3 linked regions of the Cricetulus griseus genome follow. The protein of the gene in region 2 interacts with the protein of the main gene of each other region in a pairwise test. Links are inferred from orthologs where the notes say so. Each region holds a gene or a part of one and is shown on either strand. Other genes may lie near its edges.

Region 1 (3,745 bases), on a different chromosome or scaffold from region 2:
GTCTGAGTTCCGGGCCCTGCAGTTCTCGCTCATGCTCTGCGCTTTTGTTGGTGCACTGGGTGGTGCGGCCTTCCTGGGCACTGCCATGTTCATTGAGGATGACCGCCGACGGGCTCAACTCCACATGCAGGGTCAGTGAGGGCCACTGTCACCCCATATTCACAGTATCACCTGTCAGTCTGTCCATCTGTTGGCTCACAGGTATGCGCCCCACATCTCTTAGTCCACAGCTGTCCCATCCACCCAGGCCCATGCTGCCAGCCACCTGCCAGGGTTGATAGTACCAGCTTCCCAGTACCATCCCACTCAGCTTTCAGTCTGTCTTAAAGTGTATCATCAGGCTTTCTGTCTATACACAGTTCTGAGGACTCTTGCTGCTGTCTCGTCTATGCCCCTCTGCCTGTTTGTCTCCTGTCCCCTTGATGGCTTTTATGTGACTGGCCTTGGCTCCGACCCCTTCCCCACAGGTCTGTTGCATGAGACAGGACCCTCAGATGACCGGATTGTGGTGCCTCAGCGAGGCCGTTCTACCCGGGTCCCTGTGTCCAGCGTGCTCATCTGAGGAGCTGTTGCTCACCCAGCCACAGGTTCACCACAGCTGGCCCTGGGCCCACCCTGGGAGGTGCCCAGGCAGAAGCCATCACCAGGTCCAGGTCCAAGGAAGAAGCCCTGGGATATGTCCCAGCTCCCAAACACTACATGGGCAGCCCAGGGAAGAGATGGGGTTCCAGAAGTGGGGGTTGTCCTGTCTATTAGGGCAGCCCAAGGGGTTTGGTGCTATTTGTAATGGAATAAAATTTGTAAGCAGACTATGACTGGCTGCTTGTCTCTCTGCGGGTGCCATTGGCTTCAGGGAATGTCTGTGGTCTCAGGACTTACTTACCAGGGGCAGTCGGGTCACCCTGTGGGTAAGTCCCTGTCTTCTGCGCTTGGGCCATCTAGAAGGAGGACTGCTCTTTTCTGAGTGAGTTGGTTCGGTGTGACCGTGAGTCACTGTGGTCCCCTGGAAGTTGTTCTCCCAGAAGCAAGCCTGGGAGGTGGAGGCAGTGCTGCCCTTGTTCCACACAGTCCCTGGCAGAACCTCATTAGAGTTCTTGTGCTCAGAGATGGGGAGGCCACAGCTGGCCTGGTTGGCATGTGTCTGCCTTCCTAGTGGAGCAGTTGCCTCATCCTGCAGCCTCAGACCTTTCCTTCACAAGGTCCCTCTGCCTCCTCCCCCTTCCCACAGCTGGGTGGGGGTGAGTGGGCAGGGGGCAGGCGCAGCCGGCTGAGGAGCCTGATGATTTCCTGCCCTCACCACAGCTTCCTGTCGCACGCGGGTGGTGAGGAGGAGAGGCAGGCAAGCGGGGAGCAAGAAAGGGGCAGGTACAGCTGGGCACAGGGATCGTGCTGCTGGTAGCTGGGGCACAGGCCCCAGCTCAGGCTTTAGGACTAGCCTCTTCCAGCACTGAGCTCAACTCAGTCTAGCAAGGAAGTGGGGGTCATTGAACCCCAAAGGAGGACACAGCTGCTTGCCACTGGATCCCAGGCTGGGGCCCACTCAGTCCCACACCCCTGCTGCCACTCTGCCTAGAGGGGCTGCAGTGCAGCAGGGCCTGGGCCAGGTGCTCTGCAGATGGAAGCAGACACTCTGAGCCCCATGGGGCTGGGCCTCCTGCTGCTGCCTGTCCTGGTCACGCTCCTGGCTGCCCTGTGTGTGCGCTGCCGTGAGCTGCCAGGTAAGTGGGGAGCTGTGGAGTACTAGATGCTAGGCACACCATTGGATCCCCATGCCTTCCCCAGCCCCCGGCTTCCTCTAATTGTCCATACTTCAGTCCTGCCTGGGGGGGACGGGACGGGACGGGACGGGACGGGACGGGATGGGACTGTCTTTGCTCCCAGTGCATTCTGATCCTGCCTCATTGGCTCTCTCTCTTCCAGTCTCCTATGACAGTGCTTCCACAGAGAGGTGAGTGTGCAGTCCCATTTCCCTGTGTGTCTTCCCTTTGTTCTGATGAAGGGCTTGGGGCTGGGGCCCTCTTGGCCCTGTACCTAAGCTGCCTCTTTCCTGCCAGTTTTTATCCACGGAGCATCCTCATCAAACCATCTCGTGAGTTCAGTGTCCTTGGCCTTCTTTGAGGGTTCTTGGGAGTGTGCCTTTGTCCCGCTAAGATGCCTGCAGGACTATTGCCTGGGTTGGGGGAAAGTTGGAGCCCCCATGCCTGTTTAGCACATGTTTTTTAGGGGTACATCTGTCCTTAGAGGCCTTGTCACCCGCAGGGGGGTTGTCTGGAGTAATTCCCTCAAGCTTGGTTCTATGTCCTCAGAAACAGGCTTCCCCCGAACAACTGCCACTTCCTATCCTCTTGTTACTTCCTTCCCACCCCTGAGGCAGCCAGACCTGCTCCCCATTCCGTGAGTACCCCTCAGCTCCCTCCCTCTGATCCATTGTGCCTCCTTACCTTTTAGGATGGGGGGGTGGCTTTTTCCCTGTTGTAACCCCTCTTGCCCCCAGATTCCTACTTAGACCTGGTCCCTGACCCTTGACTTCCAGGAGATCCCCACAGCCCCTTGGAGGTTCCCATCAGATGCCGTCTTCCCGGCAGGATTCGGATGATGGTAAGGGCGTACAGGGCTGGAGGGCTGGGGAGAGGGTGTGCAGCCTCAGCTGACTCCATCTTCCTCTCCCTCTCTCTTTGAAGCCAACAGTGTGGCGAGCTACGAGAACCAGGGTGGGTCTAGGGTCTGGGGTACTGGGTGGGGTGGGGAGGCTGGGTCTATCCCAGGTCACGTTGACTTCTCTCTCATTCCTCATAGAGCCAGCCTGTGAGAATGCGGCTGAAGATGAAGATGAGGATGACTACCCCAATGAGGGCTACCTGTGAGTGGGGGGTGGGAGGTGGGAGTGGAAGTTGGTGCCCTTTCTTACCTCCTCATCCCTTCCTTCCAGAGAGGTGCTTCCTGACAGCACCCCTGCCGCCATTCCTGTCGTCTCCTCTGCTCCCGTGCCCAGCAACCCTGGTCTCCGAGACAGCGCCTTCTCCAGTGAGTTAGGGTCTCTGACTACCTCCTTCCGCCATGTGCCGCCGGCTATGCCTCTCTTCCCTCTCATTTCTGCGATCGCCACCCTTCCATTTCCTCCCTCAGATCTTGGACTTCCTGCTCCTCACTTCTGATCACCTTGCTTTTCCTTTTGCCTTCCCTCCCTCTTTGTCTTATCATTTTATCTGTTGTCTAAGAAATTCCCTGACTCTTCTTTAACCTTTCCACTGAAATCGTATTTCTCAGCTGGATGTGTAGGCATGCGCCTTTAACCCTGGCACGAGGGATCTAGGTAGGAGGGTTGGCTTTGAGGCTAGCCTGGACAATACAGTGAGACCCTGTCTCAAAAACCAAAACAGCACTACCACAAACAAAAAGAAAAGAAAAATTCTTTTCTTTTGTCGGAAAACTCTTTTTTGGGGAGGGAGAGGGACGATTCTTGGTGTTCTTTTTTATTTATTTATTTATTTATTTTTGGTTTTTCGAGACAGGGTTTCCCTGTGGCTTTGGAGGCTGTCCTGGAACTAGCTCTTGTAGACCAGGCTGGTCGCGAACTCACAGTGATCCACCTGCCTCTGCCTCCCGAGTGCTGGGATTAAAGGCGTGCGCCACCACTGCCCAGCTTGGTGTCCTTTTTATTAAGTACCCTGTTCTTGTTTCATGGAAGTGATATCGTCTAATGTATCTGTAAGGTCTTTGGTTGGAGGTTGTTTCTCTCTCTGTC
Region 2 (3,745 bases):
CCCTCTCTTTTCCCTCTCATTCTCTCTTCCACCTCCTCATTTTCTCTGCCCACCAGCCTAGGCTTATCCCTCTGCTGCTTAGCTATTGGCCTTTCAGCTTTTTATTAGACCAATTAGGAGCCTTGGGCACACAAGTTGAAATAGCAACACATCTTTACATAGTTAACAAATATAACAATTTTTGCCTAGTTAAATAATATTCCACAACACACAGTGGGCTTGGGCTTCTCAGATCAGTTAGATTTAATCAAGACAGTTCCCCCACAAGCCAACCTGATCATGAAGAATCTTGCTAAGTGGTTCTAGGTTGTGTCAAGTTGGCCGTTAAAACCAATCTGATGAAAGGAAAGCAGAAGTCACAGGGTTGCAAAAGGGTGTAGTTAAGTTTGTATCCTTTCCCTGTAAATGGAATTTCTGGTGAGATTGCTAAAAAATAGTATGTTTCCAGCCTGGAAGTAAGAAAAGCCTTAAACAATCGGTAATTCTCTGCTAGAGATGGCTTCAGCTGGATGTAGAGGTGACAGGGTCCTGTCTCTTCCCAAGTCCCTCAAAGGTGCCTGGCTTTTCTATTCTGCCTTACCACCCACTCCAAATCCCTAGACAAGCCAGGACACTTACTCTAGTAACCATAACGGTACATCCATGGTAAGCGGAAAGGCAGAAGCCTGACATCTCAGTACTCGGAGGCTGATGCAGGGGGATTGCCATAAACTTCCATTTTCCAAGATGGGATTTCTCTCTCTAAGACTAGGTTGTCCGGGCACTGCCTCTGCCTCCCGAGCGCCGGGATTAAAGACAGGGTCACTAACGCCCATGGAGGCGGCGATGGTTTGAGTCTAGCTTGGGCTGGGGGTGGCGGCGCTCGCCTGCACCCGCAGCACCCGGGAGATAGAGGCAGGCGGGTCTCTCAGGAAAACAGCCTAGCAACAGACAGTAGCTCCGATTCCGGGCTGTGACGCAGGGAGCTGCAGCACGTGACCAGCTCCGTGCCACGTGACCCGCCTCGGCGTCACCGGGGTCCGCCACCGCCCCGCCAGGCCCCACGCGGGCCCAGCTCGCGGCGTCTCAGACAGACTTCCGGTCTTCCGGACGCCGCCGAGGTCAGCTTCTCCAACGACCCGGGTGTGCCCGCCCCGTGTGACGCCACTTCCGCTCCGTCGCTTGGCCGGCGCTCAGGCGCACGCGCAGCACGGGCACGCGGAGGCCATGGGTTCCTTCTGCGCAGGCGTCGTGGCCCCGAGGGCGGGTCCTGTGCGCGCCGCGGTGCGCAGGCGCAGCCGTCGGTGGGTCGGGGCTTCGGTCGACTGAGAGGTGAGTTGGGGGGCTCGCCGTGCCCCGAGGGGCGTGGGCGTCGGTGGCTCGGGGTGCGCGGCGCTCGGGAGCCGCTAAGGTAAAGGTGGCTCGGGGCCCGCCCTCCGGCGCCCCACCGGTCACGTGAGCGGGCGGCGCAGCGGGGAAACTGAGTCCGGCGGCGCCCCCGGCGCTCCTTGTGGAGAGAAGGCCGGCGTTTGGGTGTGGGCCCTCCGCATCCTCGGGGTGCCCCGGGCTTCGCCGCTCGCCAGCGTCGTGACCTTGCTCTGTCGGTTTCCCTCCTGTGTCGAGTGGACGTGGTCACCGCTGCCGTTCCGAGCGGTGTGGTGCTTGTCGGGCACCGGGGGGGTGGGAGCGTGGGGTGGAGGGCGAGGGCCTCCGTCTGCCTGCGGTGCATACTGGGGCAGGTGGCTTGCCCTCTCTGGACGGCTGTGAGGCAGGTGTGCTGGCGCACTGGAGGCTGAGGGAGGAGTTCCATGCCAGCCAGGACTGTACACAGGATTCAAAAGAGCTGTGACCAAAAACAAGGGCCCTAGAGAATGGCTCAGGTCCTTGGTCCTTAACCTGTAACTCAGTATTGCATTTGGGAGGGTGTGGCACTTGAATCACCGGGACTTCAGGCCTAGCCTGGGCTATCTGGAGAGTTTCAAGGCCCAGCCTGGGCTATCTGGAGAGTTTCAAGGTCCAGCCTGGGCTACCTAAGAAGTTCAAGTTACATGGACCACATTGTGAGAACAGTTGATTTTAGTTTGTTGAGACAGTTTTTGTGTGTCCCTGGCTGTCCTTGAACTCTCTGTGTAGACAAGGCTGGCCTCAGACTCCCCCCTCTTCCCAGCATTAAAGTGTACCCCACTACACCTGACATCATAATTAATTTTGAAAAGGATTTTAAAATAGCCGGTAGTTCAGTTGTAAGCTGCCTGTCATCCCGTCCGTGGGAGGCTGAGACTGGAAGATGGGAATGAAGTTCGAGGCCGTCTTGAGCTACATAGTAGATCTTTGTCTCTCAAAAACCAGGCCTGCAGTTCCATGCCTTTATTGCCAACACTTGGGTGGCACCGGCAGGTGGATCTCTGAGTTCAAGGCCACCCTGGTCTACAGACAGAAACCGTGTCTCAAAAAAAACCCAAACAAGAAAATGAAAAAACACCACCTCCAATGAAACCAAAACAAGCCAACTGAAATTGTTGTGAATGTCTCTGTCACCCGGAGGGTAAATGTCCCGAAGTTTCCTTAGCTAGCATCCTATAGGCCTGTCAGCCTTGGTGGGGTGCTGGAGAGGACACAGGGTCCCCACTGGCTATTATGCTTTGGTCTGTTCCTGTCTCTGGTTATTTGTTTGAGTGATCTTTCCTTTTTCTGGCTATTCTTGTCCCCAGGAACCCTGGGCAGTGTCTGGGGACACTTGTGATTGCTGTGACTGAAAGGGCTTCAGACTTCTGACACTGAGTGGAGGTCAGGAGCGTGGTCCAGAATGAAGGGTGCTCCTGGTGGGGAGGAGAAGCAGCCGAATTTGGTTCCATACACCCACCCATGTAAAAAGCCATAAGTGGTAATCTCAGTGTGGGAGGTCAGAGACCGACAGGTCACTGGGCCCTCTGGATAGCCAGCCTTACCTTGTTCAACCCCATGTCCCAGGGTCAGACGCTGTTTTCTGTTTTTTATTTTTTTCTTTTTCCCCCCGGAGACAGAGTTTCTCTGTGTATCTTTGTAGACCAGAATGGCCTCAAACTCAGAGAGGTCCGTCCCTCCTGCCTCTGCTGGGATTAAAGGCGTGGCTTGTTTCCATTCAAGACAGGGCTGCTGCTGGGAATAAAGGCAAGCCTCACCATCACCCGGTTAGACACTGTTTCTAAAAAATGAGGTGGTATCTGGAGGAAGGACACCTAGGTTGACTGGAGTGTGAACACTGAAACCGATGCATGCATGAGCATGCCAGTAAAGAAGCATACCTGTAATTCCAGCACTCAAGGGGCAGACACGGGAGGATTGCCTTAGATTTGAGTTTCCCCTGGGGTACATAGTGAGCTCTAGTGTTAAAGATGAAACCCTAGCCCAGTGGCTCATCAGTATTGAGGCATCTGCACAGATTATGTGGGTCCCAAGATTGTGTGTGCACCTACTTTTGTGGGGTAAGGGATTATCTGTGGACTCTGCCCCTGGAGCCACTGTCTGAGGTCCCAGCTGCTGCTTCCTGTCTGGGCATTGGCTCTGTCAGGTGAGTTGTATTGCAAGCCCTTCCTGTTGTTTTGATTTGAAACTGGGTCCCCCTCATTCCAGGGCTATCTGTATGCTGGGTGAACACTGCCCACTGGGACCCAGTCCAGGGACCTCACCAGACTCTTCAATGGATTTGAGCCTTGTGTTCAAGCTGAGAAGTTACCACACTGACCTTGCTTGTAAACTTGTTGGGAGGGGGAAGACAAAGACATAC
Region 3 (3,745 bases), on a different chromosome or scaffold from region 2:
CTAGATTAGAGAATATTTTGTGGAGCCCAACACCTAATGCACAGCCTTTTCATGTCTCTCTGATTTTCTACAAACTTCCTTGGAGGAATGAATAGGAAAACTCCAGGGACCATGAAACCTCAAGGGTATGGCTGCCTATATAAGACCTGAACCATGAAAACACCAGTTGACATGCCACTGTGGAAGGGAGGAAATCTTATAGGGTCCCCACCCAGATGATGAGATGCAGGAAATTAATGAGAGATGAAGTTTTCCTCATGGGTGAGCCACCTAGCTGGCTATGCAATATTAAGTGGTCACCCATAAAATGTGTGCACATGAACAACACTAAATGTAGTTGGCAGGTTGTAATAATATATCTATTCATATACACACAGAACAGTAATAATTAAAGAACAAGAGGCCAATACCATCTGTTGGTGGTACACACCTTTATTCAAGCACTCAAGAGGCAGAGGCAGGCAGATCTCTTGGAGTTCAAGGTCATCCTGGTTTACAGGGTGAGTTCCAGGACAGCTAGAGCTAGCTGTTTTGATCCCCTACTCCCAATAAAGAAAAAGAAGCCAAGTTTGAGAGGGAGTTCAGGGTAGGGAAAACATTGGAGGAAGTAGAGGGAGGAGGGTAACTATACACACACACACACACACACACACACACACACGTATTTACAAACCAACATGTATGAAATTTAAAAACAAGATCATATGATGTTGAGGCAAGACTCGAACTTTGCAGGTAGGGAAGATTGGGTTGAATTGTACAGAGAAGGGTGGCTCTCTTAAGAATTAGACTCAATTTGGACACACTGGATTTTACACACAATGGGCTGAACACACAGCAGCCATAATTTTTTCTGACATTTGATGCCCATAGTGGATTTAGAGATAGAAAGAATTCCTTTAACAACAGAAATGATACCATAGCTCAGTGCTGATTACAGTGACGAGTGAGAGAATTTATCCCTTTGCTCCAATCCATCTCAATGGTCACTTGTAGCCAGGGATGCAGTTCATTAATTAAGTGTGATTTCAAACTCTTAATCTCAGGACCAGTCCTAAGTCATTTCATGCCTAGGAAACTGATCTCCAAAGAGATTTGCTGAGGGCCAATGCCCTTCTGCGTACAACCTTCATTTATTTAGAGATTGTATTCTGTGTTTCAGTCATGAAATAGGCACTGGGAAAACAGCGGTGCAAATCATTTGGCAGAGATAAATGTCAATTGGTTGAACCATGCGTCATCTGTATTTTGAGAAGAAATTTGCATTGAGCAATAGCTTAGAATTTCAAAATCCCAGAAAGTCCAGGAACTTGAGAAATAGAGGCACATTGCAGTCTCAGCTGAGAGTTCACTTCCTATGTTTCAGCATCAGGTCCTGGTGGCCCTTTTGTGACTGACCCTTACTACTCTTCTCTACCAGTAAGGGCTATAGGGTTTCAGATTTCACAATGCTCAGGGCACAGGTGGACATGTCCCTCTGAATGTCCCTCTGAGGACAACTTCCAAACTACTTCTTTCATTTTCAACTCTCTGGTAGTTACTCTGCTGGCCTCATGGTCCTGTCTGAAGCAGAAAGTCTACCATCTACTTCTGTAGTATCAAGACTTCTGTTCTCTGGCTAAAGCTTCCTGACTATGCAATAGCATGTGGGAGGGGCCAAATACACCCCACTGCAGCCACACCCTCTGGTAAAGATACAAATAGTGATGCTTGGGACTGCTCATCAGAGCCACTCTGCCTTCACCATGAAGTCCAGTACCTTCTTCCCTTTCATGGTGCTCCTTGCTCTGGGGATCCTGGCATCCTGGACTGTGGAAGGAGGCAAAAATGGTGAGTTGGGGTTATTTTGGCCTAGAATGTCAGAGGTGAGGGTTCCTGGTGGTTTTGGTGTCTTCCTTTCTCTAGGCTGTCCTCAGCTTACTCAGGACTTCCTGGTGGCATCCATGTCTTGCTGGGGTCAGAGGTTCCTATGAGGCTTCAAGGCATGGAAGAATGCTCCCTTGATTATTAAACCACCCTGTCAACCCAGGCCTCACTCTCTCTCTGTTCCTGTCCTTTCTGTTTCTGCCTCTGGCTTTAGTTCTCAACATCTCACAGGTTTGTTCCCTTCCTGTTTATTTCTCTTGTCTCCATTACTCCCACTCTCCCCTTCTGTCCTTGGTAATCTAGCTTAGCCATGAGGTGGAAAAACTTGATTGGGAACCCTGTGCCTTTTGTCCTCAGTCTGTGATGTTTTTCCTGTTTACATGTCTGGTTTGACCAAGCCTGTCATATTTGTTTGTTCCTTTTGCTTTCTTCTGCAGTTAATCCCCTTTGTAGTTGTGGGCTACTGGGATGAGGATTTACAGTTTGGAAAGTGGTCCTTTGTCTATGAATTGTGATAGTTGTTCCATGCTCTCCTAACATCATGACATCCTCTTTAGATGCTATCAAAAGTGGTGCCTGCCCTTCTAGAAGGCCTGTCAACTGCCTGAGGAAGGAGAAACCAGAGTGTGATTCTGACTGGCAATGCCCGGGAAATAAGAGGTGCTGCCAATTTAGGTGTGGTTTCAAATGCATTGATCCTCTTCCCATCCGCACTGCAGGTGAGCCAGCAGAGGACCCAGGAGCAGAGGAATGAACCTCAAGACCTAGCACTGAAGGGGATGGGATTTCGGGAAGGGGTCCTCCTAGGCATGCTTGCTTCTAAGAGTGGTTGAATCCAACATGGCATCAGTCAAGGCATCATGCTGCCATCAGCAGGAAAAGCCTCTTGTCTGAGGCAGCCATTCTGTAATGGTTTTGCAAAGAATCATCTGGGCATTCAGCTTGATGGAAGCCGTCAACCCTTTCAGTACCAGACAGCCGGCCACCTGCATTGTCTGGAGGCAGATGTTAGAGGGGAACCAGGTGTTGTTTCAGGGGACATATCTGGGAGTAGGTGATTGAGGTGAGGGGTAAATGGGGGTGATTTTCCTTGCTCAGGCTGAAGAAGGTGGGTTAAAGAAGCAGTGATGTGGTGGCTGAAGTCTAAGACATCTGACCTGTGCTTCTTCTGTCACCAGTGAGGTCGAAGCCTGGCAAGTGCCCAAAGATTCAAGGACAATGTTTGATGCTGAATCCTCCCAATAGGTGTAAGAGGGATGGCGAGTGTGCTGGCAACTATAAGTGTTGCCTGGGCATGTGTGGGAAACTCTGCCTTCTCCCACAGTAAGGTAAGGAGTCAGCTGGGGTGGACAGACTCATTGCTTTTCAGACCTTTTCAGCTTCAAGGCTCTGGAGGTCAGGGCTTATGGCAGGGAGACTGTAACCAACAGCCTCTGTCTGGCTTGTCCTTTAAGGGCGCTGTCCCCTATTTCTTAGGGCAAACACATAGGATTGTCTGTGGTTTTGAATCTACACAGTGTGTCTGGATAAGGGCCATGGGTGAATGACTTTCTGAGTCTCTATCTACAGAATGGAAATGCTGAATTTGAAAATGTTTTGTAAGGCACTGTATGCATTATTCATTGTCCAAGTTATTTGCTTTGTCGTGTCTAGGGTTAAAGCACAAAGCGTAGATATAATTAGAGGGATGTCTAGTTCAATGCTCTGAGTTTTGAATTTTACAATGAACGTGAGACTTGAACTTTTCTCCTGAAATCCACAATCCTCTCACCTCCAGTCCTGCTTTGTTGTTTGACCTCTCTCAGCTGACTTCCTTATGGAGGACCAGAGGGAAATGATTTGTTTGGCTTCTATGTTGAAGGTCTTATCTTATTTTCTC

What was found.
Region 1: the proteins of Sgta (region 2) and Lat interact in binary tests that used the Homo sapiens proteins (3 or more experiments, as listed by UniProt). The two-hybrid records come from large-scale screens. The link is inferred for Cricetulus griseus from reciprocal best matches to the Homo sapiens genes SGTA and LAT.
Region 3: the proteins of Sgta (region 2) and Slpi interact in binary tests that used the Homo sapiens proteins (3 or more experiments, as listed by UniProt). The two-hybrid records come from large-scale screens. The link is inferred for Cricetulus griseus from reciprocal best matches to the Homo sapiens genes SGTA and SLPI.

What each region holds. Positions count from the first base shown.
Region 1 is NC_048596.1:74,438,362-74,442,106, forward strand, and holds the start of Lat (linker for activation of T-cells family member 1), read left to right. Parts: upstream 1-935; 5' UTR 936-1,615; coding exon 1,616-1,718; intron 1,719-1,920; coding exon 1,921-1,948; coding exon of another isoform or gene 1,949-2,054; coding exon 2,055-2,089; intron 2,090-2,306; coding exon 2,307-2,394; intron 2,395-2,533; coding exon 2,534-2,598; intron 2,599-2,681; coding exon 2,682-2,711; intron 2,712-2,796; coding exon 2,797-2,860; intron 2,861-2,929; coding exon 2,930-3,024; intron 3,025-3,745. Other genes in the region: Spns1 (protein spinster homolog 1), read left to right, coding at 1-131, 468-562. UniProt on the Homo sapiens protein: Required for TCR (T-cell antigen receptor)- and pre-TCR-mediated signaling, both in mature T-cells and during their development.
Region 2 is NC_048598.1:101,842,615-101,846,359, reverse strand, and holds the start of Sgta (small glutamine-rich tetratricopeptide repeat-containing protein alpha), read left to right. Parts: upstream 1-1,155; 5' UTR 1,156-1,311; intron 1,312-3,745. UniProt on the Homo sapiens protein: Co-chaperone that binds misfolded and hydrophobic patches-containing client proteins in the cytosol. Mediates their targeting to the endoplasmic reticulum but also regulates their sorting to the proteasome when targeting fails.
Region 3 is NC_048599.1:15,125,430-15,129,174, forward strand, and holds the start of Slpi (antileukoproteinase), read left to right. Parts: upstream 1-1,360; 5' UTR 1,361-1,706; coding exon 1,707-1,830; intron 1,831-2,423; coding exon 2,424-2,585; intron 2,586-3,044; coding exon 3,045-3,193; 3' UTR 3,194-3,194; intron 3,195-3,745.